4 linked regions of the Styela clava genome follow. The protein of the gene in region 1 purifies or fractionates together with the protein of each later gene. This does not show direct contact. Links are inferred from orthologs where the notes say so. Each region holds a gene or a part of one and is shown on either strand. Other genes may lie near its edges.

Region 1 (7,655 bases):
TGATAGAGTCAACCCTTTTAATACTGAAGTTTATAAGAATTCTGCAAAACTTGATGACAAGATAGTAGTAAAGAAGAAACGGCCAGCTCCAGCACCACCAAAATCAACTTCAGCTCTTCTATCAACACAATCACCACACAAAAAAACAGCTGCCCCATCTAGGCCACCAGGATGGAAGGATACATCAAGTCAGAAAATGGTTGAATTGAATAAGGCTAATGAAAAAGATCCACGCTATACTAAAAATAGTACCAAGCCACAGTCGTCTTCAAAAGCTAGAGCCATGCACAAAAGCCCCAAGGCCCGTTCAGCACCTGGGTATGGATATCCACTTGTTAAGCGAAAAGTAGAAATAAAAATGTCGGAACAAGAGATTGCTAACGAATTGAAGTTACTCGATGTTCAATTAACTGATTATGAAACAAAGGGTGTAAAATTAGAAGAAATGTTGCGGTTTGCAATGGATAGTGAATGTGAGTGGACATCAGAAGAAGATGAGTTGCTGCAGGAGTGGTTTCAACTGGTTAATAAGAAAAATCAATTGCTCAGGCAAGAGTCTGACCTTGTGTTTCAGATGCAACAACAAAAACATGAACAGGAGCATGCAGATATTGAATTTCAATTGCGGAAGCTTTTTAACAAACCGGAGTCTACTAAAACTGATCAAGATAAAATCGATGAAGAAAATCTGCTGCAAAAACTTCTTGAGGTTGTTGAACGGAGGAATGTAATTGTTAATTCCATTGAAGAAGAACGCGTGAAAGAGGCAGAGGAAGATTCAGCGTATGAAAAAATGAAAAGGTTACAACAGAATCCAAGCAAAAAGAAAAAGAAGAATAAAGTCAAGAAGATGTTCAGCAAGAAAGGCAAAACAGACAAAGAAAATACTGCTAAGACAAAGTGAACGCAATAAAAACTATGTTACTGATTTTATCATAAGGAATGATTGTTTTCTACCTAAAACACATCCTCCGTTACATAGATATATAAATATACATGACTCATACATGATTCACTAATATTTTTATGAGCTAAATGAAATTAAGTATCCCTATAAATCATATCATTGACTGGCAACTCACCCCTACGACTTCTAAACATTGTATATATAAATACTTTCTATATTTGGAATTGTGAAGATTTAAGATACAAATATTATCTTTAATGACATTGACTCATAAAACAAATTTGTTTGCTAGAGCAATCATAGAAATGGATAATTTTGTATGTCCAATACAATCACTGTCTGTTAAATTCGGCCAAAAATGAGGATAAATAGTACTAACCATACGCATTTCGTATGTGTTGCTTATATACATAAATTTTTATTTAGTATTGCACATTTCATCATTATTTAGAACACCAATAATTGACATTTTCATGCATTTATAAAAGGGACATATATGTATTATATGTACTATCATTGTCATACCTACACCAATGGCTATAGTCCGAATACCCTTATTAGCATTGCACCAGATTCATGACAGTAATTATTTTCCGTGCAATCTGTCTTTTGGTGTTGAAATATTGCACAGCAATCAGTTTTAGTTGACAATCCTTAAGATACCATAATTTTAATGCTTCGATTTTTAGGATAAGCCGTTAATTGGTTGAATTTTTCAGATAATTAGGAGTTATAACATTTGATTTTATTGAGCTGAACTTTTTGATGCCATCGCTTTTGTAAATAAGTCCTGAGACTGCAGTTGAATATTACACTGCAAATAGAATTAGCATTTGAAAGTTCAAACCATACAATACAGTTGCCAAACCTGTGGCTGGTCCACAGAATCTGCACAAGTGTTTATTAACAGTGTTTCAATGCCTGACAGCCATTTTTTTAAATTTATGTTTTAGCAGATCAGAGCTCACTATTCTTATTTCTATATTGCTGACTCGCTTGCCCTATTACTGCTTGATTGTATGCATTTCACCAATTTTCTCTATATCATTACATATGCTAAGCAAAGTTTTAACTATGTATATCTACATTATATATCATAACAAAAATCTTTTGTTGCATATTATGGACATTTACAATTAGGTAGCAAGCAGAAAGCCCATGAAAGATGTATTATGAGGACAATAAGACTTTGTGTTTGCTTTTCATAATTTGTCGGGTTTAGCTGAAGGTTGGAATCTTTGTAACTTGGCTCTAATCTCAGATGATGATGTGAATTGAGCCAAAAATACTTGTGACTTCAACATGATGGAAGGCTTTGAAGGAAACTTAGCCTTTTTTATCGATTCAATCCACCTTTCGTGAATTACAGTCCTAAGCCAAAAATTCACTTATTTCAGACTCGTTTGTAAATATTTATTAAATAAAAAAAATCAATACAGAATGGTAACATAGGCAAGTTATGCACACATTACCTTTGACGATTTGGCCATACACATAGTCTTGATTTATAAAAATGTTTTTGACCAATGATTTAAGTTACATTCAAGTTTGCCAGTGAACTATATTTTTTGTTCGTCAAAATCAGGCCTGCATAACTCAAATAAAAGAAAGGGCTGCAACAGACGAAACAATTGTTTGCAGGACGCAAGTTATCATTATCACCATATAACTTGTATCGTGTCATATTGTTCGTAATGTGTAAACAGTGTAACACATGATCAATTCGACACAACCATCTTTTGTTGGGATGTTGTATCTTTTTTTTCAGTCATTGTTGTTATGTTGAAAAATGCTGGAACCGAACATCTCTATTGCATACGCTGTCATACATTTGTCCCTTAAAGCGCACGAGCTAGTATGTTGTAACAAAGAATCGTAGTGCCAAAATCGACGAAAGTGGCCAACTTGGATGTCAATTGAGCATTTAGAATTAAATGAATTTATATAGAATTGACTTATAATTGGTCTTTGGCCCCACCCTCTTACATATTTTATATGCATAAGTTATTTAAATCACCTCAAGGCCCACACGTCCTGTAGGTCTGGTCTGAATGCTCAATCATATTTTTGCTGAGTGCTTGTGGAATTGAAGCATTTACTCGGAATGAAAAGAGCTTTATGAATGTTTTCGAGTAGACCAGCACACAAAATCAAATTCATCATTTTAGATTGAACAGTCTCAATAAGGTTTCACATCAGTGGGTATGGTTATTGATAGTGAGAAGTGTGGTTCTAGTACAATGTGTAAAAGCCAAGATTCTAAAAATCTTCCCATTCATTTGTAACGACAGTAGCTTGTGTTCAACAAAGTGAAACAGGAAAACATTTGGGGTAAAGGTTCATTTGAGTGCATTTTCTTCTTGGTTAAAAAAATTATATCTACATTGAGATATATCATCTAATGATTGTTGTCTACTCTCCTCATTAAACTAAGAAAGCATCGTCATCCTCGAGTGTGTCATCCACATTTGACTCATTCTTGTCAGATTTTGATGACATATCAAAAAAGTCTTCTGGTGGATTATCCCATGGGTTGAGGTCTTCAAGGTTTCCCAAAGCTTTAACAGTATCTTCATTCATAGACATTAAATTTAGACCATCCATTGATAATCTTTTCATGATCTCTTCGTCCGAAGGCTTCTCATTCATCAAGTCATCATATTTATGACCCAGAGTCCATAACTTTTCGAGGTTATACTTTTCACGAGTGTCTTCAAGCATTATATGAATCACCATATTTCCCATGTCTATGCACTGCCAATCATCACTAATTCTTTTTCCTTCAATAAGTGTGAAAGGTTGCATACCCCTTCGTTTCGACTTATACAACTTGTTTGCCATTTCAGCAATGCTTGCAACATGCCTTGCCGACGTTGCAGTGCATATAATAAAGTGGTCAACATAGCACATTTTTTTGGGAACTTCAATTACAACGATGTCCAATGAGCCTTCCTCGTTTAAAAACTGAATGACCTCATCTAGATCGAGTACCCCCCGTTTTTTTGATAGAAAGTCTGATTTATCTTGTCGTCTTATAGTATCCCACGAGACTGTTGAACCAGATGTTGGTGGACTTTCCAAGTTTTCACTAGTCTCATGAGAACGAGAATAATAGGCAGTAGAATTACATTGATTGTAAGTGGGGCTGCATAGTTCACATGAATGACAAATGAAGCGTCCACTCCTGAGGGGCTGAAAGCGCTTCAAAATATTCCGAATAAACATCGTCGACATAATAGCAAATTAGTCTATGCTAAACCCCTCAATTGTGTCAACAATGAGCCGAAGATTATTCAATAAGGAATTCACAGATACTCGTAAAAGTCGCGCCTCAGCTGCGGTCCAGTATACGCAGAGTAAATTATTGTTTACTTCAATCACTTTATCCACCAATTGCCTTCGAGGCTCAACGTCTACAATCAGAGTATTCTTTGCAATCAACGCATGTTTAGCGTTTTTCATGGGAACTTTGATTTCGAACCTCAACACCGACCTCCCATGCACAATAGAAGCCATTTGCTACACAACAAATAACTTGAGGGAAAATGTGTTCACCAGTTCAAGTCGGCCCACAAGTCCCGCTAGAGAGTCCCACAACTGTCAAGAAATAAAAACTAATGAGATCGAATAAAATATGGAATGACAATTTAAATTTTATGAAAAGTACGAATAACACTAGAAATCAATAAACGCTTCTTCTTTTTAATATTCATTGACGACAAACCTTATTTCACGCTTCAGATCACAAACCACGTGCTGAATAAGAGGGGAAACACCGATGTATGACTCCTCTATGATAGATCCACGTTTTGGTAGAGATTTGGAATAACGTCGCTGTGATCTATTGCTACCAAACATCTTATCTGACATGGGAAGAATAAAAAAGAAGGTATTTATGTATAATTTATATAATTATTACATAATTTTTTGACTTATCTTTTTACTTTTATATACCAAGCACTCATATTCACTGTGAAACTATGTTATCTGTTTAGCATGAAGCCGGAGCTGCAACGCAATACATAACTCGAAAGCATGCTTGCAAGAGACTTCAGCTCAGTTTGGCCAACTTTCGACGAATTTGTATTCTAAAGGGCATTTATCCTCATGAACCAGCACATAAAAAGAAGGTGAATTTTTGTTTTGTCAAGCATCTAAAGAATTTCAATAGTTGATTATAATTTATTGACGCCAGATTATCTGAATATGGTATTTTTTGCAGTTATTGATAAATGTTTTTGTCACAATGATACAATCGTTGATATATGAGCTTTAGTAATATAAGGTCACATTCTTGTTTTATACTATTCAATTATAATCAACTGACTCATCTATAGAGGAGGGACAGATAGAAATAACTGACTGAAACGGCGGGCCACACCTTTTTTTAACATAGACTATCTAGTAGTTGCGTGGGCACAAAAATTTTGGTTATTGGATCTTGTGACATGCGTCGAGACGACATGCGACAAACCAGCTGCTAAGACACTGATATCTTCGCATCGCAGAGGGATTGAAAATTCTCGCACATACCGAATTAAATTAAACACATCATTCAAAATTGGCACTTCTCCAATTTTTACTTGAGGGCCGCAGGTTGCACACCCCTGCGGTAAAGTAAAATTATTGGTGTTTGTTCCTGCTCTAGAAAGTTTATGTTAAATGAAAGTTGCTGTCCTGGTTCCACCCAGTTATTTGTATCTGATGCTTTTGTATTGAAGTTTACACTCACTTGACATATACCCTTCAATGATGATATAGGTTGTTTGCCAGTTCTGCTTCTGATATTTGTGATGTGACTGCAGCCAATTTATTCTGAGAATTTTTTGTTAGCTATTTATATGTGGTCAATAGTTGAGTTAGAAAATTGAAATGAAATGAAGGTAAATTTGTATCATACAGGATTTCTGATGGGTTGTAAATTTGTATATTATTTTTATACTAATTCTATTTTAAGGTGAATAAAGGAAGCACTGCAAATCGTACATTCTACTTCTTGAAAGACATTCAATTTCTGGCACACGAACCTGTTATAAGCAAATTTCGTGAACATAAAGTAAGTCTTGGTTAACCTTTTTTATATCAGATTTATTTTAAAATTACTAGCGCTGTAAGTGTTTGGTCTCTTTTTAGACTTATATAAAAAAGTTGAAAAAAGCAACGGCAAAGGATGAAAAATCGAGAGCAGCATACTTGAGAGAAAATAAACCAACTTACAAGATTGATCACATTGTGAGGGAAAGGTAACAATATTTCCATAAGCATTACTGAAATACTCGTCATTTTAATTTTGGCTTTTATTTTTGTTGGAATTAGCATCTCACTCACTTTTTATAGAGTGTTATCAAATCTTTGCTACTTAAGAAACTAGTTTGTATTTCCTGAGCCCTCATAAGTCAGTCAATTTTATTACACCTTTGGTGAGGTTTTGGACCAGAGATGAACTGCTACGTCAAAATAGTTCTAACACTCTAGGTCAGCGGTTCCTAACCTTTTCAACTTGGCAGACTGATGACATCTTATGAAATGACCTCGCGGACCGGCAACAAATATTGAAATGACTGACACAAAGCATGGAACTAAAATAGGAAAAACATGAACGAGGTCTCATTTTAATGAGTGTCCTTTTTTCTTGCATTTGCTGTTTTATTGTTCTTGACTGAGTGAAACTCACGGGGCTAATACCACACTTACCGAAAAATTCGCCTAATAATGCAATGCAACTGCATGTTTTTTATGACCAAGCGATTGCACTGAGAGAGAAAAGTGAAATTTGCTCGTTCTGGTCTGCAGACCAGCAGTTTGGAACCACTGCATTAGAACATGGTGCCCACACAGTCTTGAGTTATACAATATACCGGTAGGTAGGTTAGATTAACTTGTCTCCTATGACAGTGCTGGTGACAGGGGTGTATTGATATTTTTCAGATATCCAACATTTACAGGAGCTATCCAAGATTTGGACGATGCTCTGTGCATGTGTTTCTTGTTTTCTAATCTACCAAAATCACACAGTATTCATTCTGAAACAGTTCAGCTTTGTAGAAGGCTTACAGGTAATTTTGTTTTTGAACACAGCCCGATTAAAAGGCTTTGCAAAATGAGCTTATTTTGATTACATGGATTTTAAGTAAAATATTTCTTTCATGAATCTTGTTTGAACTAGGGGTGTTTGATGTTCAATATGTAATTTATGCTTGACAAACATTATGGATAGGCTTATAGAATTAGTATATTTTCTCATGCCATCCTTTATTTTTCTACTTTTTTGTATATATTAATTAGATAATACTCATGTTTAGATTTATTAATATTTTTTCTTATAGTGGAATTCATGCATTATGTGATTGAAGCAAAAGCTCTGAGAAAAGTCTTTATTTCAATCAAAGGAATATATTTTCAATCTGAGATAATGGGACAGTCAGTGACATGGATTACACCACATAATTTTTCACATCATGTAAGTTAATATGACCACTACAACATAACATCATCCCGAATGCAGTTTTGCAGATTCCTGACTCAAAATTATGATACAAGGGTTTTAAATCACAAAATTAAACTCGAATATAAAATTTTACCTAAAATAGTACTAGTATTAATATTAGAAATTGAATTAATAAAAACAATCTGAAAAGGATAGATTTTTTATCCTGGAGTAAAAAATAATTAGATGGTTAGGAGCTGGAACCACTGAAATTTTATGAAGCTCTGGCTCTAGCTTCATTTATTATGGTAAGCGCTGCTA
Region 2 (7,487 bases), on another chromosome or scaffold:
CATTACTCCAATCCAAACACATAACTTTATCTTGGTGTGCATTCACATCAAAAAGTGGAGTTTGCGGACTTCGTATATCCCATAATTTAACTGTATAATCGAGAGATCCAGACACTAGTTGATATTGATTACTGGGTGACCACTTTACACAGGTGATCCATCCAGTATGTGAAGTTAGATTACATTTAATTAAAGATCCTTTAGAGAATATTTCATCTTTTCCTCGTGGATCCCAAATTCTGATATGCCGATCCGAACTTCCGGTCGCAAGTAGATTACTATGAAAAGAGTAGTCACATGCTAAGAATACTTTTGCTCCACGCAAGTTTAATTTTTCTTTACCCTCATTTATGTCCCAAACATTGATTGTATGATCCCAAGACACACTGCATAAATCGGAAGATGATAACCATACAAGTGATGACACTGCTTCTCGGTGACCTGCTAATGTCGATTTTGGAACTCTAGTAACACCACGCTGCTCTATACGCTGACGTTTTTTCTTGTTTCTTGCTTTTCGAAAATCTTCTGGCTCATTTGAGTCATCTTGTGGAACAGGAGATGTCGACCATAATTTTATTGAACTGTCCCACGAACCGGTAGCAAAGGCTTCCATTTCAGGATGAACTGACACGCAATCAACACTTTTAGAATGCCCCCGGCAGCAAAATAAAGGTTTTATAGTTTCTTCACCTTTTTCCCATTGCCATAAAATGGCACTTTGGTCCTGGGATGAGCTTATCAAATAAGCAGTCTTATCATTATTGACACGATTTACCCATGATACTGCCTTTACAGGTTCTGTATGACCGAAACCATATATACAAGGTTTTGAACTATCCATATTCCAAATTGATACAGTGCAATCATACGATCCTGTCAAAATGAATTCTTTTGTACTTTGTACACTGCTAATCCAATCATCCTGTGTAAATTGATCTTCTGGTTTCGGACTTTCTTGTTTCAAAATGTATTCAATTTCCACAACCTTTTCTGTCGATATACCTTTATTCTCGATGTATTGGTTAAGTGGAATTCTCAAAAACTCTCCATTCACAAGAAAATCAAATTCCATATTTTGATATTCATTTTCATCATCTATCGCATCTTTGACTCCTTCCTTCAAAACTTTATTTACGAGATTTGTTAATTCTGTAACAGTTACTTCTCCCGGCAGTTCAAACATGGTATCTGCAATCTTATATTTCTCATCCTGAGTTACAAGCTTAGCTTGAATATGATCCGCCATATTGTTAGGTATCTTTTAAAACAAAATATTATTAACACATTATTACATAAAGAGTACATGTGAATGAGGCTCTTTGACACACGATTTACGTTCGTTCATTCACTGAATATGCAGAAAAAATGTGAATCACATCATAAAAAATATTGTTTTTTATACAGTGATTTCATGCGTCCACCCCAAACGCTCTATAGATACATTGATATCTGGATATGCAAGACATATTGTTTTATTTCTGGTTCAGCATTGCCAAGCAAATTAATACACCCCAGGCAGCCGGGATAAATGGTGGACAAGAGGCTTGTACCTGTGATCATGAAAATGTGATGTTAACATAGTTAATTACAACGCTTCATCCTTTGCATTAGAATATAATAAGAAACATGAATTATTCAACATTGGCCTATGTCTGTATGTATTACATATAATCGGATGAAGGCAACCAAACCCAAAATAATGGGTCTCGTGTAGTTTCATACCATAACTAACTTGTAAAGATTTTTGGGGTCTGGTATAGTTTAGTACAACATGTACTTCTAGTTGACCTGGCTCAACAATTTTTGCATATGTCAATCCTAACCCCCAACTGACTACGTCACCGAAAAATTACGTCATTTCGACGTCACAGTGGCGTAATAAGGCCCTCCGAAGCCAGTCTGGATTTCAGGGCCTTTTCGAACGAGAAATCGGGCGTGCAATCAGAAATTCCCGCGTGCAAATAAGAATTTCTGGCGTGCAAAACAACTGCGCCCGCTAAACTGATTTCGAACTAAGATGCCTCTCAATACATCCGCGTAAAAATAAGTTGGATCATAGCAAAAATGGACGTTTGACCTTTGACCCCAAAACATCATTTCTATATTTTGTCACTAATTTTGAGAGTGTTTGTGCGACTTTAGATACCGGTACTGTTCAGTACATCCGTGTAAAATTATTGTATTAAAAATGCGCTGAATCAGAGCCATAACTGCCCAGCGTCGGTGAGGAGGCGATTTTTCTCACGGGATTCCTATCATTCAACACGATATGGTGATTTTTGCTTCGCATTTTTCGATCAGGCCAAATCTTGCAAGAAAGTATTAGTCGACAATTGTAAAGTTATAATTTTTTGGCATCTTTATATTACTAGATTATTGATTTAAAAACTATTTAAACCGATTTACATTGGTGAGCAATTGCAAATTTTCGGCGTGCAAAATTGAATTCGCTCGCGTGCATTTTTGTGGAGCGCTAGCGCCCTCGGGCGTGCATCTGCCATGAAATCCAGTCTGGCACCAAAGTACAGAAGTATGTGGATGGTCGTTTAAAACGCGCAGACGATCACCCGAAATCGAGCAAGCAATTTCTCTCGTTTTCTCGCCACAACAATCACTATAGGAGAGAGATCGCCGGCTTTAGCAAGTTCGTTATCGGCGGCGCAGATGTCATTTCGGGCGATCGTAATTATACTTTGGCAATCTCTATGACGTGATGGTGACGCCGTAGTGACGTAATTTTTGGATGGCATAGTCAGGTGGGGGTTAGGAATAGCATATGCAAAATTCGTTATGCTACGCCCACCGGAAGTACTTGTGGTACTAAACTATACTAGACCCCAAAATACTACCGGTACCGTAATTGGTATGCAGGTAATGTACCGGTACGGTACCGGTACCCGGTCATTTATTTTGGTTCTCTGACATAAACAATACAAAAAGTAAACAGACAAAACAAAATGCAGAGATACCTGAGAGACTGGCATAACTTAAAAAGCGTACAATGTACGTGCCCGCCCACCAAAAAAGATGAAAACAAACACAGAAAAACGCGATTTGCAATCGGGCAGTACTTTGAAAGCAATTTAACAAAAACAGCAATTGAAGCAATTGAACAATTGAAGTAAATAATTGAATGCAATAAACTTCTACCTTTTAAATTAAAATAGTGCTTTTCCTACAAAACATGGAATAAACCATTTTGCCTGCCTACGCCTTACGAAAGTCTGCACACGTGCTAGTTGTAGTAGTTCGATTAACTTCAAAGTGACGGACAATGAAAACTAAAATACAGTGGTGTATGGAGTCGAGCATGCTTCTAATGGACGTTTTTGGATACAAAATAGAACTGTGGATTGTTTTGTTCTTGGACACGAAATGGACCTATGGTCATGAATCGTTTTGTTGTTATATCATTTGTTTTGGAATATTCATTGGTTAAAGATTGGGTACTTCTGCAGTATGCGACAGGAGCACCAAAGTTTGTATTTTTCGCTAAAAGGTTATTACTTTTATTTATTTCGAAACTTTTTGTGGGCTCCATGGGATTCGATCAATGCTGAGTTTGTATTTTTCGCTAGAAGGCTATTGCGTTTATTTATTTCCAAAAATTGTATGAAATTTATGATTTGTTTTTGTGTGCGATGAATTCATCAAAATTAAAAATTCCCATCTTGTGGCGGTTCCGCGTTCGTATAACAGCAAAGCGAATTCGTTGAAGACCCCGGTACTTGTAGTCTTTTGTAACCGGTATGTTAGTCGTTGTTTGTAACAGATGGCATAACCGTACTACTTCATGTCCATATATTTGTGCATTGCTCTTTTGTATCTCAACATAGTATAATTTGACAACAAAAAAGTAGAAACTACTGAAAATTTAACAAAAGTATAATTTAGTGTTTAATCTAAACTAAAAACTCGGCTCCACGGTATGATGCATCGCGCTAAGCGTTAGAAATACGCTCGCCACCACTCTAATTATCTTGCGTGGGTTCGAATAAACAAGAGCTGGATATTTCAATGAAATAGAAAATGTCAGATTTACCTGTATCCAGCTCTGTGTAAATATCTCATCCCAACCCCACCGCAATTTAAAAAAAATGACTAACTCAAATTGTACAAGGACAAGAAAATGGCAAAATCATCGCTGTTGAAAGTGGGATTGATAATTACTCCTCATTCTTATTCCTATCTACAAACTAATAACTATACGGCGTCTTAAACACCTATTTGGAAACCCAGCGACAAGCAATTTTTATATCTAATTTGACGAAGTTTATTTAGCGCCGGCCTGGTCTGTTGAAATGGTCGAATCGGTCTCTATATATTCTAACCTGCTTAGAATTAGCTTTCAGTAACCAAACCTGGTTTTATTTTGCACGGGCGGTATCCCCCTGCACCAACTCAAATATTGAAGTCTTGAGTCTGTTCAAGAGTGCTGTACTACTCTCTTGATGAAGTTTAAAGCTGGCCAGAGAAGAAAGGCAACATCTACGAGGCATTGATTATTCGCTGTATAATTAAGGTTTTAAATCTAACCTAAACTAGCAGAATAGTCTAACTTGATTCTCCCCCTGCACCAACTCAAATATTGAAGTCTTGAGTCTGTTCAAGAGTGCTGTACTACTCTCTTGATGAAGTTTAAAGCTGGCCAGAGAAGAAAGGCAACATCTACGAGGCATTGATTATTCGCTGTATAATTAAGGTTTTAAATCTAACCTAAACTAGCAGAATAGTCTAACTTGATTCTTCGCTGCCTATTTTAACATCAATTCCAGCGTATATCTCAAACATCCACAACAACATGGCTTCGATCAATAATACCACCAAACCAAAGCCTAAGCAACGCCTGAGTAGAAGTCTTCCCGATCCAGGCCTTTCACCAATTGGATCTGTATTGCAACAACAGAAGGAACACTCTAACTTCCAGATAAACCTACAGGAGGCAATACAAACAAACATCATGAACCAGTTACCATCCCTAATTGCCAAATGCTTAACAGAAAACTTCAGCTCTGCAAACTTTTCATCAGAATACCTACCAATGAGTCCAGGTCTAAAAGAATGCATGGAGGAACAGATGATATCTCTGAAAGAAATTAAACAAGACCTTGCTTCTATCAGAGAATCACAAAGCTTCCAATCTGAGAAATATGACGAAGTTATTGCAAAGCAAAAAGTTACAGATGAGAAACTTACTCTTTATAGCAAAAAAATACGAGATCTCGAAGAGTTAGTTTACGATCTTGAAGATGAGTTATTTTATGTCACAGAAAAAATAGAAGAACATGAACGTCGATCTAGGATGGATAACCTAGAATTTCATGGCATTCCATCAACCGAAAATGAAGATACTGATGAACTAGTAACACAAATCGGAAAAATTATCCATGTAGACATAAAGCCTTCAGACATCTCCGTAACACACCGCTGTCCAACAAGGAATACCAACATCCATAAACCAATTGTAGCGAAATTCACAAACCGCAAAATCCGAGCCAAGATACTCAAAAATCGAAACTTGATCAAAACCTCTAACAATACAACATCTATAAGAGACTTGTCAAAGGTGTTCGTGGTTGAAAACCTAACCGAAAGAAATAAAAACTTATTTTACCAAGCGAAGGTCCTCAAGAAGCGATGTGGTTACGCCTTTCTGTGGACATCAAATGGCAAGATATTGATTAAAAAGAACAAAGACACGAACACTCTGTCCATAACTGATGAAGACGATCTGGATAAAATAAGATAAGTCCAATGATTTTTCCACTGCTATACTTAAGTAAATTATTAATTCCCCTTATGACCTATTTAAGAACCTTCAGTATCTTTTGGAAAATTTCAAGCTATGACATTCCCCCCATCGCACTAGCCTATTTGATCACAATCTATTACATGTTCTTTAAAATTGTATCCATTATCATCACCTATCTATGACCTAAACAGTGATCCCAACCCAAACTGGGAATCTATCAACTTTCACCCTGAAATTTCTTCTACCCCAAGTCAATATCTTGAAATATCTGATATCAACAGGGTAACGTCAAGTTTTCTACCTTCAGAGTTCATCATTTTGCACCTTAATATTAGATCATTACCTAAATATTCTGATAATTTAGTTGAATTGATTTCCAATTTTTGTACTCCACCTCAAATCATCGCCTTAAGCGAGACCAGGATCATAAGTGACAGTGTTGCGAATGTTAATATCCCTGGGTACACCTTCATACATGCTCCATCCCCAACTCGAGCAGGCGGTGTTGGTTTTTATATTGATAGCAATTTAAATTATCATGCATGCTCTAAACTCGGCTTAGAATTTCCTAACTGCGAAGACATTTGGATTGAATTAAAGAACTTCCAACCAACCTCAAAAATTCAAAATCTTGTTGTTGGTGTAATATATAGGCATCCCAAAAATAATATTCCAGCGTTCACCACAGCAATGTCCTGTCTATTCGAGAAGCTGACAATGGCTAAAAAGCAATTTATAATATTAGGTGATTTCAATTTAAATCTTCTTGATTCTCATAACAATCTCACTACCAAGTATTTAGACATGCTCATGACTAATTTTATATGCCCGCTCATTACCAAACCAACCAGAGTTACCTCGACCTCTCACACCCTTATAGACCATATTTACACCAATACCGTAAATTTCTGCAATTCATCATTTATTTTGCTCAGTGATCTCACTGACCACTTTCCCGTAATGTGCACAATATCAGCAACTACTGGCAATATAAAGACAAACACTCGCATGAAACGTGACATGACTAAATTTTGTGTTGACCTGTTCAGATTGGAGGTTGAGTCGATCTGTAACAATTATACTAGTATTAGCATACATGAGGAAAACTTCAATAGCTCATTCGATCTTTTTCTTAGTCACTTCAAATGGTTGATTAATAAACATGCTCCATTAAGACCATTTTCGCGTAGAGAAAATAAACTTTACTCTAAACCGTGGATTACTAAAGGAATTCGTAAGTCCATCAAACATAAAAACAATATGTTTAGAAAAAAATTCTTAAAGGGAAACTCATCCCAGCGTCTCCACTTCAAAAAATACAAGAACATTTTGACGCACTTGCAGAGAAAATCAAAACAAATGTATTACCATAATATCCTTGAAAACAACAGAGGGGATGTGAAGCACACTTGGAAAACTATCAATGACATTATTAAAGTTAGGTCCAAAAATGAATCCATCGTCTCTGAATTGGAGCTTGAAAATGGTGCCACAGTTTCCGACCCCGCCAGAATATCCGCCGAATTCAATAAATTCTTTTCATCTGTAGGAAAGAAACTTGCTGACAATATTCCACATAGCAAGAAATCTTTCAAAGCTTTCTTGAGTGCTCCCTCACAGCACTCTTTTTTTCTGGAGCAAACGACACCTTCCGAGGTTCACCAAATAATATTGAACCTGAAAAAGGGCAAAGCAGTTGGACATGATGGTATTTCCCCGTTTTTCTTAAAAA
Region 3 (7,902 bases), on another chromosome or scaffold:
AATGTTTGGTCAAGCTTTACCGGTCCGTCACTTGAAAAAGGTTGCCGACCACTGGTCTAGACCATTCGTGCTACAGTTTCACTAGCAATGAGACACTGATGTCTGAATGATATAATATGTATTTTATCAGATTTTTACACCAAAAGTTTGCATTATTTTTGACACATTTATCATCATTTTTCATTTTAACCGATTATTAAAAGAACAATTCTTTGCACTTGAATGGCAGTACACATCCCGTGTAGCTAACCTGGAAATCAAATATGCTCTCAAGTGGCGGCTTAATATGCACTCTGTGCACTCTGTGAAACGAACATTTGAGTGTAAAATATCAGGTATCATGATATATTGACTTTGACGTCGGATAGAATTCTAGATTGAACCGTGTACGTTCAAGCAGTCGACACAAGCTTAAAAGTAACTTAAAAATCTCGGTCCTTCCAAACTCACTACTTTGTGGCTGTATTTAGAGATTTATTCGAATCCAACATTTGTAATACATTGTGTAAATGCATTTTATTGCTTTTCAGACAATTATTCTACGTCACCGCTGTAGGACAAATCACAATGTCTTGTATCAACGGTGTGACCCGCACGGCGCAAGTTCTCTTAGCAGCTGCATGGTTCCCTCGAATGAAACTGCGACGGCTTTTGTACTTCCTGTGTTTGTTAAGACTTTGGCTGGCATAATCAGCTCACTGATATACCCATACGCCACCCAAAGGTCGTTTCTGCTACTGAAAAAGGAACTGAGTTTTTTTCCGGTAACAATCTTGTTTACAGCTACACACGGATTTTTTGGTGTCGCCGTTTTTCTCGCGCTTGTGCTTGTATTTTACTGCGACAATAATCCACCATCTCCACCTAGTCGATCCCAGAAAAAAATATTTTTTTCTAATGCAAACTCACTCAATACTATGACATACGGAAGCCGATTGGTAGCAGTATGGAATGCTATCTACTCGAAGGCATTCTTTTTTCTCGGTATTGCCATGTTTTTTGGTGGTGTTGCACAGTCATACGCAGTGTTCCTAATGCCATCTCTTTTTCTATCATCATTTCCTGAACTGGACAATCGGATACCAGCAGCGCCGGATTAACCATTGAACAATCATCAATGTAAGCACGTGCTTAGGGCACCCAGAAAAGAGGGGCACCACAGAAATTTTATAGCAAAATTCTGTATAGTTTGTCGGTGTTTATTAAAATATTACGAGTTCACCAGACGACTCAAAGTTCAAAATGTTTGCTTTTCTTTCGTCTTCAAGTATAATATTAACCTTCTTTATTAAAAAAAAATACTGAAACTTATTTATTGGACACGAAATGGGCCTATGAGTCGTTTTCTTAAATTGTTGTTCTATTTTTCTTCCTAGTATTCTCCTTGTTGCTGCATTTTTGTTTAAAAAAAAAGTGGACCAATGAATTAATCCGCGATCGCATTTCAACGGTCTAGTGGTCAGCAAAGTCGGGAGGTATTTGATAAGGTAGACCAGGGTGGCCCAAAGCCGTCATGCTGATACTTTCCGTGCGGCCCACAGAACAATTTTAGCTATATTTGTATCTGATAGCCTAACGTGTTTGAGATTTTTAGCTATTCCAACTGGGGTTGGGATCTCGAGATTCAAACCCCCTTTTCTAAGGTTTTGTGCCTTTTTTTAGTAAAAAACACGGCCCTGTTTTCAAGCGTGGGCCATGTGACAGTAGTGACGAAACACAGAGTCGACTCAAGGCCGCGCAATCCAGTATTTAGTTAGCTAGTTCCGAAATACCAACTTAGACGGACTTGGTTGTTATTTGACGATGGACTAAGTTTTCTCACGCTGTAAGTTTTTAAAATACTCAAATTTATATAACAATTCGTAATAAAATGAGTGTCACAGGAAAGGTGAAATAATGATAACAAGGCGGAAACGTATTTCCTTGCCCACCACGCAGTGTCTGGTTTGCTTTCAAGTAATATCCGTCACGAAAGAATATAATTTAAAGAGACATTAAACGCGAGATGCGAAAAATACAACGGTAATTCTCTGATAAAGTAACCTGAAATTCACGAAATATATCTGTTCCTTTTTGAGACATGAATTCCCGCAAAGTGAGATATTTCTCGCGAATCTTAAGTCTGGGGGTATCGGATGCGACAGTGAAACAAACAAAAAAATTTTGACTTACGAAGAAGCTGATTACTTTGGTCGTTACATTCATATTCAATGCGTCGAGTTACAGTATCATTACTAGGCAGTAATTTTAGCTTTTCACTCAATCCTGCTTGTTTACTGCTTCTGTGCTGACTCAAGCGACGCCAACTTCTCTTCCTTGATTTATTTCGACAGCAAGCATACCTCTTCATAGTACTTCTCCCCATTAAAAGATTCACCACACTTTATCATCACATTGTATAGAAGCAATGTGCTCTGTTATCTATTCGAAAAGATTTCTTTCAAGTGATATGAAACGTCCGATTTTCCTGTGGAAGAGGGAGAGTAATTTCAGAAAGCACTATGACATCATAAAAGCAGCTGAAAGAACCTAATAGCTACGATGACATCAATTTAACTAATGAAAGCATGATGACTTCATGATAGTTCAATAGTTTTCCATGAACTTTATGTATTTGTTTACAGTAATCATTACTGTCTTGTCATTTTTTCATTGCATGCCTCACTGGTCACTTGTATAAATAAAGTTCACTCAGCTGTAAAAGGACAGTTTGTCCTTGATAATATGTTGAGCATGTGCTCTGTCTGTTTGAGATAATTGCTTTAATAATTGACTTATCACTTCAGTCTTATTATGGCAATCATTCAATAATTTCGAAATGAAAATGATTGATTTTTCAAAGATTTATGAGGGCCGGAAATTATTGCCTTGTAGTGCCATCTTAAGGCTATGCTGTTCTCGCATAGAAAGCGTTTACTTACGTTGTCGGTTATCCTGTTCATTCCTGACAAAGGCATGGATATATGTACATTTCATTTGAAGACGTAATGACAACATGCAACTCAATCATGCATGTTTCTGGGATGATCTGGGAAACATGCATAAGTACAAAAATTTTGCAGTGGACCTTTCCCCGACCTTTGTCCCCAGAAAAATTCTTCCTATACCTTACCATTGCAAAAATTTCGGGGCTATTTTTAAGAATGCTTTTGCGAGTTGGCGCCAGTAAAATGGGGTATGTGTTTCAAACCAATGACATTAAAATTGTTTAATGTCATTGCTTTCACCGACCTTCGACCCCGAGAAAATTTTATCTATACTTTACCATTGCAAATTTTTTGGTGCTCATTTTAGAGTTGGCTTCGCGAGTTGGGGTATATGTTTCACATCATCATTTTGATTCACAACATTCAACAACCTGTTTTTCAATAGTAGGCTACCCGTAGAGAAGTTTAGCCTAGTCTATCACAGCTATTTCTAAACTAATTTTTGATTACTGCAAATAAGCTACGACTCCAAAGCAGACAGAATGATCATTGAGTTCTTTGATTCATACTTAAATTTTCGAAATGCAACCAAAAACTAACAAATAGCATGCAAAAACGCGGTAATGTTTACAAACATGCTTGAAAATCTTTTTGAATGACAAAAGTGTCTAATAAGTGGTTGCGAAAACGTCTATTGTTACGTCAGTTTGGTCTTGCTGATTAGCCAATGTTACGGAATAAGCAAGGAAGTCGATGCTTGGGGGAAGGTCCATCGCGGAACTACTTACATTTATGTTTTTGACTTATTTTGCAAGAATAAAAAATAAAGAACTTTTAGAAGATTTACTATTTCTAAGCTAACCGTTTATTGTGGAAAACCTGATGCGGCCCGGACTCACTCAGACTCTGTCTCAGTGGCCCTCAGGTAAATTGAGTTTGAGACCCCTGGTCCATACCATTGAGGTGTGGTCCATACTCAAGTGCCGGTTTTATGGAGAATTTCAGGGGGTCAAGGGTCAGAAAAACATCGCATGTGTTTTCAGGATTCCCGAATAATTTGAGTACCATAGTCAGGATTACACGTTTACACAAAAATTTATAGGTTTATCCACGGATATTTATTAGTTTTCAGACGTTTTGGACCTCGTAGCGGTAGTTTTCCAGATGGAATAAGCGGTTTGGGACTTTGAGTTAATGACTTTCTTGAGAGTTCTGGAGTTTGAGAGTTGTTTAAAAATAATACCGTAATGAAATTTATACAGTTGAGTTAATGACTTTCTTGAGAGTTCTGGAGTTTGAGAGTTGTTTAAAAATAATACCGTAATGAAATTTATACAGTTATAGTCATATAACGTTATCTAAATTTTTAGTTTAAACTGGTACCGTACCGTACTTTCTGACTTTAGCACTAACTAAATAAAAAGCTGAAAAAATTATAAACTGTTCTAGTAGAAGGTTGATATCAAATCTACAAATATGCCGCAACCGTCTGATCTACTTGAGGAGCTTTCAGCATTCAACAGTTTCCTTGGTGGAAAAAAGTTAAAGTTAAAACTGGATAAAAGTAATATACCAACGTGTGATGAATGTAAACTTTCTGGTTATGCAACCCTTGCTTGGTATCTCTCTGATCTATGGAAGAAAAATGATTTGACAGGCACAAATCCCGAAGTTCATGCAATTGTATGGCAGTGGCTCGAATTGAGAACAGAAGCTTCAAAGTCTCTCCTTTTTAATGACTTCATAACGAAAATTGAAAACCATTTATGCCAGAATACATATATTGCAGGAAACATGCTTTCTGTAGCAGATGTTCTATTGCTATATTCAGTACATGAATTTGTGTCTCGACTCTCATACCAAGAAATTAATAAAACATATAGAAATTTGGCTAGATGGGTTTCCCATGTTCAAACTTTCCTTCCCAAAACAAATAAATACCCCAAACTAGGTATTTCAAGAAATTTAATATATTGATATTGAATGAGAATTATTAAAATTTAATGAAATTGACCTCAATAGTAAAGAGTTAAGGTATATAAGAGTTGTTGGCAATGGATTTGTGATTTGAATTTCTCTCTATATGTGATCATGGTTTCTGGGATTGTTGAAAATCTGAACCTTGTATTTCAAACTATGGTTTTATTAGTTTGAACAATATCATTTTTGCAATATTACAAGTTATTTATAAATATGAGTGGATGTTCACTGTTCAATATCCCTATATTGTATTTGATTTCTCTGTGATTGTTAGCTAATTTTATACATTGCAATATGAAATTCATGGGTGTTCAGTTAATAATGGAATAGTTTGTTATTCTGGTCTTCCGGGTATATTTTATTGTTGGGCATTCGTCTGGAGTTGATATATTATAATGTGAAATCAATTTTTACACAAAGAAGTTCCATCAATTGTGCTTTTTATTAAGTACCATAAATTGAAGCTAAAGTATGAAATCGCTCTAGTTTGCATGGTTCATTGTTATATTGCGGAGAAAAACAACCTTGTTCCTGTGATTTTTGTCCAAAGATTGATAACATGAATAATAAATGCAAATATTGTTCTTACCTGTTAAGCATTTGTGACTAGAAAACAAATATAGGCTGTATCAGATTTAAAATGGTACTGGCATCCAAAGCAGACAGAAGACGAAAGCGGCGCCTTTCTGAAAACGTGCCGCAGTATGAGAAGGTGGCAAGGATATCAACATCTTATGTAAAAGAAGATTCGTCTAAAAAGATAAAGCATTTATTGCCAATCAAGGATATTTCTGGGGCTGTGATTAAGCAGTATGAAGAGTACTATGTAGATGATGTGGTGGAGAATGGTGTAATTGAAGGTGATCATCAAGATGATGAAGTCATGGATAAACCTGAAGAGAAACCCAAATTAAATGTTCAACAAATAAAGATGCAGATTGCTAAAATGTGTTCAAACATAGTCAATGAACCCCAGGTATTATATTTATATATACCGTATATATGTATATACACACTGTAATTTTCTTGATTACTTTTTTCTTGATTACTTGATCTAAACTGTTTAGGATTATGAACTATTTAGTCATAAACTACCATAATTCAATATGTCGACAAATACTCTGTCTGTTTCCCTTCAAATTGGAAAAACAATTTTTAGTTAATATTGTTTTCAGATTCACTTCAGCATTCTGAAGAAACTTCAAAACATGATGTGGACAGAAAAACCAATGGAGACCTGTTTTATTATTCGTAAATTAGCTATGGCATCAATGGCCTGTGTCTTCACTGACATTATACCAGGTATGGTATATGATTGAAACAACTTTAAAATCTGTCACATAGTATATACGCTAGTTGTTTTATCTATAGGTGTAGATATTTTAAACATATTATTTTAGGAAATTCTCTAAATGATGATAATCTTATGAAACGTTCTTTTGTGTGAAATTTTGTAGGTTATCGAATCAGGGAAAGAACCGAAGATGAAAAGTCTGTGAAATTAAGCAAAGAAGTTCGAACATTGGTGGACTTTGAAGAAGGGTTACTGAGACACTATAGAAGTTTTTTAGAGAGCTTGGAAAAAGTTTTAAAAAAAGAAAAGAATGGTTAGAAATTTATTACTAGTCATAATAGGCCATGTATTTTACATTGGTATTACCGTATTTTACGGGCGATAAGAGGCACTTTCAATTCTATTTTATCTCCAAAATCGATTGTGCGTCATGTAAGCCGGTGCGCCTAATGTATGGATCAGGTAGTGCTTTTTTGTACCGTCATTGCTTTGAAAACTGTGTCTGTGTAGTCTGGTGCGTCCTTTGTGAATGATGATGGCCTTTATAATATGGTTCATAAAACACGGTAATCCATTTCTTCTTGCTCCTTGGTTATCCAATTAAATATTGGCATTGCCTTATCTGCAGAAAAGGTGGAAATACTTTCCAGCTTTAGCAGATGTACATACGGCTCTAACTTGTGATATTCATATATGCTTATGTTATTATTAAACACTTATGCAATGTTATTCAGAGAAAAATCCTATTCTTTCTGGAGAAGAGAAAAAAGAATTGACTTTCTTGGCAGTCAAATCTCTTTGTGAATTGTATGAAAAGACAACACATTTCAACTTTCATAACAATATCGTTATGGTTCTTGTGCCTCTAACAAATTCTAGCAATAAACAAATATCAGAAATGTGTTGTAATTCTGTGAGAAGTATTTTCCGAAGTGATAAATCAGGAGAGGCATCTTTGGCAACAATCAAAGTAAGTATTGTATTATAAAGAGGACTGGGATTGGTTTATATAGGTATTGTGGTCAATGTTAGATAATTTTATTATGTTCATTTCAAGGCGCTCCCGAAGTATGTGCACCAACATGGCGCACAACCTGAACCCTAACCTGGTATAAATACTATGTTCAGGATGTGCGCCATCGTGGTGTACATACTTCTGGAGCTCCCATTCCAAATGTATAGTTACAGTTTCAATACTATATGCTTATACAGGAATGCATGCTGTTAATAAACATGTAGAACTAAAGTAAAATTGTGGATTCCCCTATCTGTAAAGCTTAGTCGTAATTGTGCTTGACTTGTCGTCAATATTCTAGTCCAGTTTGTAATGCATGAACATAAAGTTTTTGTATTCATTAATTCAACTACCGTAATTTATATTTTAACTGAAAATTATAGCTGAGATAGGATAAGGACATATACCTAGTGACGTATGCCATACATAAAATAGCTCAAAAACATATTTCTTTTGATGTGGTATTTGATGGTGTTGCTAATTGCATGTAGAAGAGTCTTCTATGCTAGCAATTTACATGTTCAAAAGGCTCATAGCTCTTTCTGGTATTAACAATATCTTTTCTATTTTTTTGATTGACATATGTTTATTGACACTCTCAGATTTATATTATCCACTAACAATTCCCACATCTTAAAATGTTTGTAATGACTGCAATCCGGCATGCCAATCCCTCTGCCATCATT
Region 4 (7,798 bases), on another chromosome or scaffold:
CGGTTTTTCACTGATTTTGCACGTTTTGGCAAAATTTCTAGTGGTTTTTGACGGTTTTCACTGTTTTTGCACGTTTTGGCAAAGTTTCTAGTGGTTTTTGACGGTTTTTCACTGTTTCTCGTTAGTACGCGCAACACTGTCAAAAAATAAACCACCAAAACGCGCAGAAACAGTCAAAAGTCAACAAAAATCTCCAGAAAACGCATTCAAGTATACGTATAACCATTGACTTGACATTGTCCATGTATTATGTTAAGCATAGAATGGAAATGCGATTTATCAAGCATGATGGTGAGAATAATACTTGTTTAAGACTTCGTCCTGCGTGATAGCAATGGCATGCTTCCATTGTAACAAACATTTTTTGCTCATGTTTCCACGTTTTGGCAAGGTTTTTAGCGGCTTTTGACGGTTTTTGGCGGTTTTTGCACGTTTCGGCAAGATTTCTAGAGGTTTTTGACGGGTTTATGCGCGTTTCACACGTTTTGGCAAGGTTTCTAGTAGTTTTTGAAAGTTTCCACCTCCCACTTTCGCTAAACAACGAGATCCGCTGATATCCATTTACGGAACCGCTACAAGGTGCGCAATTTTTGATGACCTCATAGCACACAAACAAGCGAATTCCATAGAGCTCACAGAAATATTTGAAATAAATAAAAGTAATATCCGGCGCGGCAGTGTGGCTCATCGTGCTAAGCGTTAGGAATACGCTCGCCACCGCACCTCTAATTACTCTGCGTGGGTTCGAATCCCATGCTAAATGGTTATGGGAGAGAAGATCGCTGGACTCCTCGCTGCCGTAGGGTGATTCACGTAACCGCTGGACGGTTACGGCTTCCTCTACCACCAAGTCCATGCTTCCGAAAAAACAAATACCTAACTAACCCCATACCCGACATGGAATGATGACCGGACGAGAGGCCGTGGTTCGCCGTATGGTTAAGCCGTCTAATCTGGGGTTACCGTATTTGAAAAAGCAAAATTCCGGACAGTGCATGACTATTTTCATGACCTCGTAGTAAAAAATATGCGCATGGTACGAATAACAATGTTCTGTATTAGCAGTGTGCACAGTACGATTGCAGATGCAGTAAAATTCCGGATTCCGGACATTTAGGCATTTTTTAAATTCTTCCCGGACGCAAAATTTAACCCTAAATTACGGACATGTCCGGAATTTTCCGGACGGTATGGCTAATCGGCTTTCCTCTTCCCCGGGATAAATATGTAAATCCTATCCTATCCTTCTAGCGAAAAATACAATCTTTAGCCACTGAAAATTCCAAAGCCAAAGTAATTAAAGAAAAAAGAAAAAAAAATTCATAACGATAGGAAGAAAAATTCTAACATAAAGAACAGCAACAACATAATAACGAAACGATGAATAGGTCCACTCAATGAGCATTCATTGGTCCACTCCATGTCCAATAAATGATTTTACATATTTACGATTCTACCCACACAATAGGGAGATTTAGGATAGGATAGGATTTACATATTTATCCCGGGGGAGAGGAAAGCCGATAAGACGGCTTATCCATATGGCGAACCACGGCCTCTCGTCCGGTTACCATTCCAAGTCGGGTATGGGATTAGTTTTTTACTGTATTTTTTTTTTCGGAAGCATGGACTTGGTGGTGGAGGAAGCCGTAACCGACCAGCGGTTACGTGAACCACCCAACGACGGCGAGGAGTCCAGCAATTCTCTCGCACATAACCATCCCTGCATGGGATTCGAACCTGCGAACCCACGCAGAGTAATTAGAGGTGCGGTGGCGAGCGTATTCCTAACGCTTAGCCCGTTGAGCCACAAATTTAAATATGTGATTCCGTCAGCAAATGTAGGCTACGTGGGTGCAATTGTACGTGAATACAGATGTTAGTGGGTGACAATGAGCGTGGCTACAAACGCCCATGTGTGCAAATAAGATAGGATATTTCTTCCTGGGAAAGAAAAGCCGATAATATGATTTCATAATTATAAGGTGAACCGCGGCCTCTCGTTCGGTTACCAGTCCTTGTCGGGTATGGGATTAATAAGCTAATTATTTGTTTTACGTGGGTGCAAATGTATATGGATGAAAATGTCCGGCTGCAATATGTACGCGAGTGCTAAAATATGTTAGTACAATTGTCTGCGGGTTCAAAAGTATGCAGGTGCAAATGGTCTGGGTGCAAATGTACGTGGGTGCAAATATGCTGTCTCCTGCACAGAGAATGAGATTTAATCAATCCATGGTTCAAAGGTTATGCCACGCACGTCGCAGTAACATGATTTTCGGATGGCATGGTGGGTTAGGAATAACTTATGAAGAGATTGTTATGCCAAAACGAGCGAGCCAACTACGGTATTTATTCTGATACTGATGCATACTCGATAATCAGATACCAGGATAGGATTACGGTAATGCTGTAATGGCAGAATAGTCTGACTGACTGATGGCAGGATGGTTGAAATTAAAACGAAAATGGAAAAACGTAGAAGGGGCGATACCGTACTGGTAATAGCCTACTGGAAAAATAATGTTACTGTGTTAGCATATACCGGTACCGGTACGATAGCCTACAGATATATGAAGATTAAGAATATTTATCAAAATTGAGAAACAAATGGGACGATTGCAATTGAACCGCAGTGCAGTGCCTATTTTTGTATTTCCTACAAAGTTGAACTGGAATACCGGTAATTGTCTGAAAAGAGTTGAAGTAAATAATAACAGATCTTCAAAAAATACCTCTTACAGCTGTACAGTCTTACGTTCTGTACGTTAATTAGAACAGTAGAGGGAATATGATAATAAAACTCAAGTTGTTACCTCAATTTATGTTTTTATGCAAAATATTTCCAATGCCAAAAAAGTAAATGAAATTGTAGAAAAATTTGTATAGGTTATATTACAGTACAGCAGTATTATGTGTGTTTTTGAATATATATACTGATACACGCAGTAGAAAATAATGTAATATTTTGTGACAGAACTATCAATTTAAATTGCCTAGAATATAATATAGGACAACAATCAAGTGCTTATTTAGGTAATTAATAACTACCGTAATAGTGTATTCCTCATGCTGTCATGAGTATTATAAAAGTATAATTGATTTTAATTTAATTTGATTTTAAGTAATAGTTTGATCTGTATGATATCAGTCAGAATGGGCAAACATAGGCGAACATATATGACGAAATTATAAAAAATCTCTATTGCAGTATTGGGAAAAGACTTGTGATTATACTGAATTCAAATCATAGTGTAACTTGTAACAATATTCATAATGAAATTTTGGCAAATTATTTAAAAACCTTCAACTATAAATTACAGTGGGATATCTTGCCCTTGAAAACTAAGCTAGAAATTAAAAGAATAGCAAGAAATGTAATATATTATTATGCAATAGCGGACCTGACTTCGTATCACATACTTTCATGTCCTGTGAATATACCCAGAAAGTTTATTATGATTTTGTTTGTTTAATTATATTAAAATTAATTGGGATACATTTTATAATAAAATTATGATTTTGCATATTATTTACTTTTAACGATCCTTTATTTAGTCGTATAACTACTGTAAATTTGAATGCAATTATTCTTTTGTTATCAATAGTGCGATATAAAATTTGATTAAAATCCTGAAGTATGCGCACCAAGCTCTTTTTTATTTATATATTATTTATATGTATATAGGTGAAATAACTTATTCATTATGGAAAACTGTTACTGCTGGAACAAACTGAGATAAATTGTTAAACCCAAAAATGGATGCAAAATGGAGTTTGGAGTATGGACTTCTATTTTTGTACACAAGGAGTCCAGCATCCTCTGACCTCTCGCACAGGATTCGAACCTGCAAACCCATGGGGGGTCATTAGAGGTGGTTTGAACATATCTGGGTTACAGGAATAGCATCCATTCCAAGGATTACTCCCTTCTTGCTGTATTTTCTATAAAAGACTATGCCATCATACTGTCATAGTACAGTAGTAATATTATGCTATAGCAGTATACCGGTAATGTCATAAATGGAACCTTTCATTGAAATCTAGTGTACACTACGATACTTGTTAGGGATTTGTAGAAATATAACTGTATCATCCTTGCTGTGTATGGTTTGTCTACCATTTAGTACTTTTGTCATTTTTTCTTTTCAGCATTAAGTTTGAGATTGCCATGTCATGTCTAAATATTTTAATATATTTAAAATTATGCATTAAATTCAAAAGGGGCAACAAAAGCACAGTTGTAAAAAAGTCTGTTATCGCTAACATGACAGTTAACATCACATTTCTTCTGTAGACTGTATTTGTAGAACACAGAATATGTCACTTAAACACATAAAAATGTCAAGTGGGGAATATCGATGTGTTTTTTCTTACCATTGGGGCCCTGTTAGTATCAAAATCACACCCCTTTAGTAGTATGGCCCATTCCCATTCCAAGAATAGCCGCCATATTAAAAGACATCAATTATAACAGTGATCGCAATTCGCAAATTTTTTCTGTACGACAGAGTGTGGGCCTCCACCCTCCATACTGACAAATTGGCACTGCGCAACAAACTAAAAGGAACGCAATCTAAAATGCCATCATAGCAGGCTATTCCTCTGAAAAAATAGATTTACCGAAAGTAAAATATTGTTACCATAGCATCCGGTGGTTTTTAGCGAAAAAAACGCAATTTTGGTTATGTGACGGCTGAGGCCTGTATCGAATAATTTGAATTATTGTTGAGTTAAGCATGGCGCATTTGCTGTCGTGCCAGACACCCTCGTTACAACTTTATAATGATCCTATATTTATGTATATTCTTACAGTTTTAATTAGGTAACATAAGATTTATTGCCAAATGTCAGACTTGATCCAGACCATCAATGATGATGATGAAGTCAAAGTTGAAAATGAAGAAAGTGAAAGTGAAGAAGAGGCAAATGTCTTGACAAAGGAGGTGATTCAGCAGAAGAGACGAGGTAAAGATGATTTCAACTCAAAGTTCATTTTTGATGAGGATGATGCAGAAGAGAATGTAGGATGGACACTCAACTCGGCAATTGAAATGGCAAAATCTAAACATGCCATCAGCAGATCTTCATTAGATCAGAAAATTGCAGAAGTCAGGAGAAACCGATTGATAAAAAGTGCTCATTTTGCCACAAAGAATAACATGAAAGACAACATTGTATCGAATTCCCAAAACGTGAATGAATATTCTATGGATTACTTAAGTTCAGGGAGCGAAGAAGATGAGACTATGTTGAAACCTGATAAAATAAGAATAAAAAATAAAAGAACAAAATTGAAAGATTCCGATGACATAAACTTGGATGAAGAAATAAAAGCTATGGTGTCAATGAAGAAGATTAAACAATCCACTGAAGATGTTCTGGGAGACAAAGAATTCTTTAATTCATGCTCACAATGGAACCCAAAGTTGACATTTCAGGATATGAATTTTTCTAGGCCCTTGTTGAAAGGTATAAATGCATTAAACTATGTTGTTCCTACACCAATTCAACAGGCCACAATTCCAGTGGCACTACTTGGAAAAGATATTTGTGCCTGTGCTGCTACAGGAACTGGTAAGACAGCTGCATTTATGTTGCCTGTCTTGGAACGGCTAATCTACAAACCTCGTGTGGCTCCTGTAACAAGAGTTCTGTGTCTTGTACCAACTCGTGAATTGGCTGTACAAGTTCATGCAATCACACGACAAATAGCACAGTTTACGGATGTTCAGGTATGCCTGGCTGCTGGTGGACTTGATATCAGGACACAAGAAGCAGCTTTGAGGCAAGGTCCTGACATACTTATAGCTACACCTGGTCGTCTGATTGATCATCTTCACAACACACCATCTTTTCAACTCGAATCTGTTGAAGTTTTGATATTAGATGAAGCTGACAGAATGTTGGATGAATTTTTCGCAGAACAGATGACTGAAATCATTCGACTTTGCTCTATTGGGCGACAAACTATGTTATTTTCTGCCACAATGACAGACAAGGTAAATGAACTTGCATCAGTGTCACTGAAAAATCCTATGAAGTTATTTGTGAATAGCAATACAGATGTTGCACCATATCTTAGGCAAGAGTTTATTCGAATTCGCCCAAACAAGGAGGGTGACAGGGAAGCCATAGTTGCTGCTTTATGTTCTCGTACCTTTGTAACCAGTGTTCTTATATTCACACAAACCAAAAAACAAGCTCACAGAATGCATATTGTACTGGGATTATTAGGACTGAAAGTGGCTGAGCTCCATGGTGATCTGAACCAGTCTCAGAGGCTGGAAAGTTTGCAGAAATTCAAAAATGCTCAAGTTGATATTCTAATTTGTACAGATCTTGCTGCACGTGGATTAGATATTGAAAATGTTAAAACTGTCATCAATTTTACAATGCCAAACACACACAAACATTATGTGCATAGAGTAGGAAGAACTGCAAGAGCTGGAAAAACAGGACGATCTGTTTCTCTGGTTGGTGAAACTGAACGTAAAATGCTGAAGGAAATTGTAAAACAAGCAAAAAACCCAGTGCGTAGTAGACTTGTTCCTCCAGCAGTGATTGAAAAATACAAAGTAAAACTCGATGAATTGGATGAAGAAGTAGGTGAAGTTTTAAGAATGGAGATCGCAGAAAAAGAAATGATAAAATCTGAAAACCAGATAAGCAAGGGGCAACGGCTTTTAGGAAAGAAACCAAATGAAGAACAAATTGAAAAGAGAAACTGGTTCCAATCTCGCATTGAAAGAGAGATGATCAAAGCAGAAAAGATACTTGGAAAACATTCAGAAGCCAAGCCTGGAAAAAAATTTGTAAAAGGGAAAATACTGAAAGGTGCTAAATTTGTTCCGCTACCAAAAAATGCCCAAGAAAGGGCTGCTAGGGAGCTTGAAAAAGTACAAGCTTTTCAACTGAGAGAGAAAAAACGAAATCGTAAACAAAAACGAGCCAGGGCCTGTGCAGAAAATGTCAAAACAGCCTCAGCCAAAATCAAGAAACCCAAAAACAAGTCATCGTTTGCATCTGAACTTACTGACACAAGTGCTCGGTCAGTTAAAAAGTTCAGAGCTGGTCCAAGTTATGAGGAACGAAAAGGGTTTAAAGGCAAGCAAAAATATAAAGAAAGAAAGAAGCAATTTAATGGAAAATTGAAACGACATTGAGAAAAAAATGAAAAGGTTTCTTCCCACATGGACTGGTGTCATAAATTGTGCAGAGAACTGGTTGTGTTGGGACATACCTTGGTAATATGTTCCATTTATATCATGCTTTAGTCTCCCCTTTTATGACAATTCCAGTGAACTTTAAAAAATGCTGCCATCACGAATTACTAACCTATAATTTTTGTCGAAAATTTTGAGTGCATTGAAAGAATGGGATGGGACAGGTGATATCGGTCGTCTAATTATATTAAGTTGTAATTTAGTTTGTAACGTCCTATGCCAACGTCAGTGACCTATCGTTTTATACCCAGATTTATAAATGTGACGTTTGTTCATATCGCAGCATACATGTAAGCTTTGCTTGGATATGAAGCTCGCGCGCTAAATCAATCGCTTGAATTGCGCAGGAACCACGGGTCGCTAACAGACAAAAAGAACAAATTTGAGAAATCGTTGTCTTTGTGCTGAGATGTTTTTTGCGCTTGACTTCCAATTCTGTATTTGGCACAAATACCATGCACGGCGGGCAGGGTGGTGAAATTGTAAACAAGAGTAGAACGTAAAGTCAACCGTGAAGTTCGTTATAACAACGCACATTGGCTCGTTTACGACTTGTTGAATTCCTTCCATTT

What was found.
Region 2: the proteins of pescadillo homolog (region 1) and ribosome biogenesis protein wdr12-like purify together in Homo sapiens (co-immunoprecipitation; 7 studies listed by BioGRID and IntAct, counting the BioPlex papers as one, with this or other methods). This does not show direct contact. The link is inferred for Styela clava from reciprocal best matches to the Homo sapiens genes PES1 and WDR12.
Region 3: the proteins of pescadillo homolog (region 1) and nucleolar complex protein 3 homolog purify together in Homo sapiens (affinity purification with mass spectrometry; 3 studies listed by BioGRID and IntAct, counting the BioPlex papers as one, with this or other methods). This does not show direct contact. The link is inferred for Styela clava from reciprocal best matches to the Homo sapiens genes PES1 and NOC3L.
Region 4: the proteins of pescadillo homolog (region 1) and putative ATP-dependent RNA helicase DDX27 purify together in Homo sapiens (affinity purification with mass spectrometry; 4 studies listed by BioGRID and IntAct, counting the BioPlex papers as one, with this or other methods). This does not show direct contact. The link is inferred for Styela clava from reciprocal best matches to the Homo sapiens genes PES1 and DDX27.

Annotation. Positions count from the first base shown.
Region 1 is NC_135252.1:3,713,510-3,721,164, reverse strand, and holds the start of pescadillo homolog, read left to right. Parts: upstream 1-4,636; 5' UTR 4,637-4,775; coding exon 4,776-4,796; intron 4,797-4,902; coding exon 4,903-5,037; intron 5,038-5,864; coding exon 5,865-5,963; intron 5,964-6,040; coding exon 6,041-6,150; intron 6,151-6,835; coding exon 6,836-6,963; intron 6,964-7,233; coding exon 7,234-7,367; intron 7,368-7,655. Other genes in the region: MICAL-like protein 1, read left to right, coding at 1-904; uncharacterized protein K12H4.2-like, read right to left, coding at 3,332-4,141. UniProt on the Homo sapiens protein: Component of the PeBoW complex, which is required for maturation of 28S and 5.8S ribosomal RNAs and formation of the 60S ribosome.
Region 2 is NC_135261.1:8,153,745-8,161,231, forward strand, and holds the start of ribosome biogenesis protein wdr12-like, read right to left. Parts: upstream 3,003-7,487; 5' UTR 2,988-3,002; coding exon 2,973-2,987; intron 1,262-2,972; coding exon 1-1,261.
Region 3 is NC_135257.1:7,179,923-7,187,824, reverse strand, and holds the start of nucleolar complex protein 3 homolog, read left to right. Parts: upstream 1-4,902; 5' UTR 4,903-5,547; coding exon 5,548-5,883; intron 5,884-6,082; coding exon 6,083-6,209; intron 6,210-6,364; coding exon 6,365-6,514; intron 6,515-6,935; coding exon 6,936-7,171; intron 7,172-7,902. UniProt on the Homo sapiens protein: May be required for adipogenesis.
Region 4 is NC_135257.1:251,781-259,578, reverse strand, and holds putative ATP-dependent RNA helicase DDX27, read left to right. Parts: upstream 1-4,791; 5' UTR 4,792-4,847; coding exon 4,848-7,166; 3' UTR 7,167-7,344; downstream 7,345-7,798. UniProt on the Homo sapiens protein: Probable ATP-dependent RNA helicase. Component of the nucleolar ribosomal RNA (rRNA) processing machinery that regulates 3' end formation of ribosomal 47S rRNA.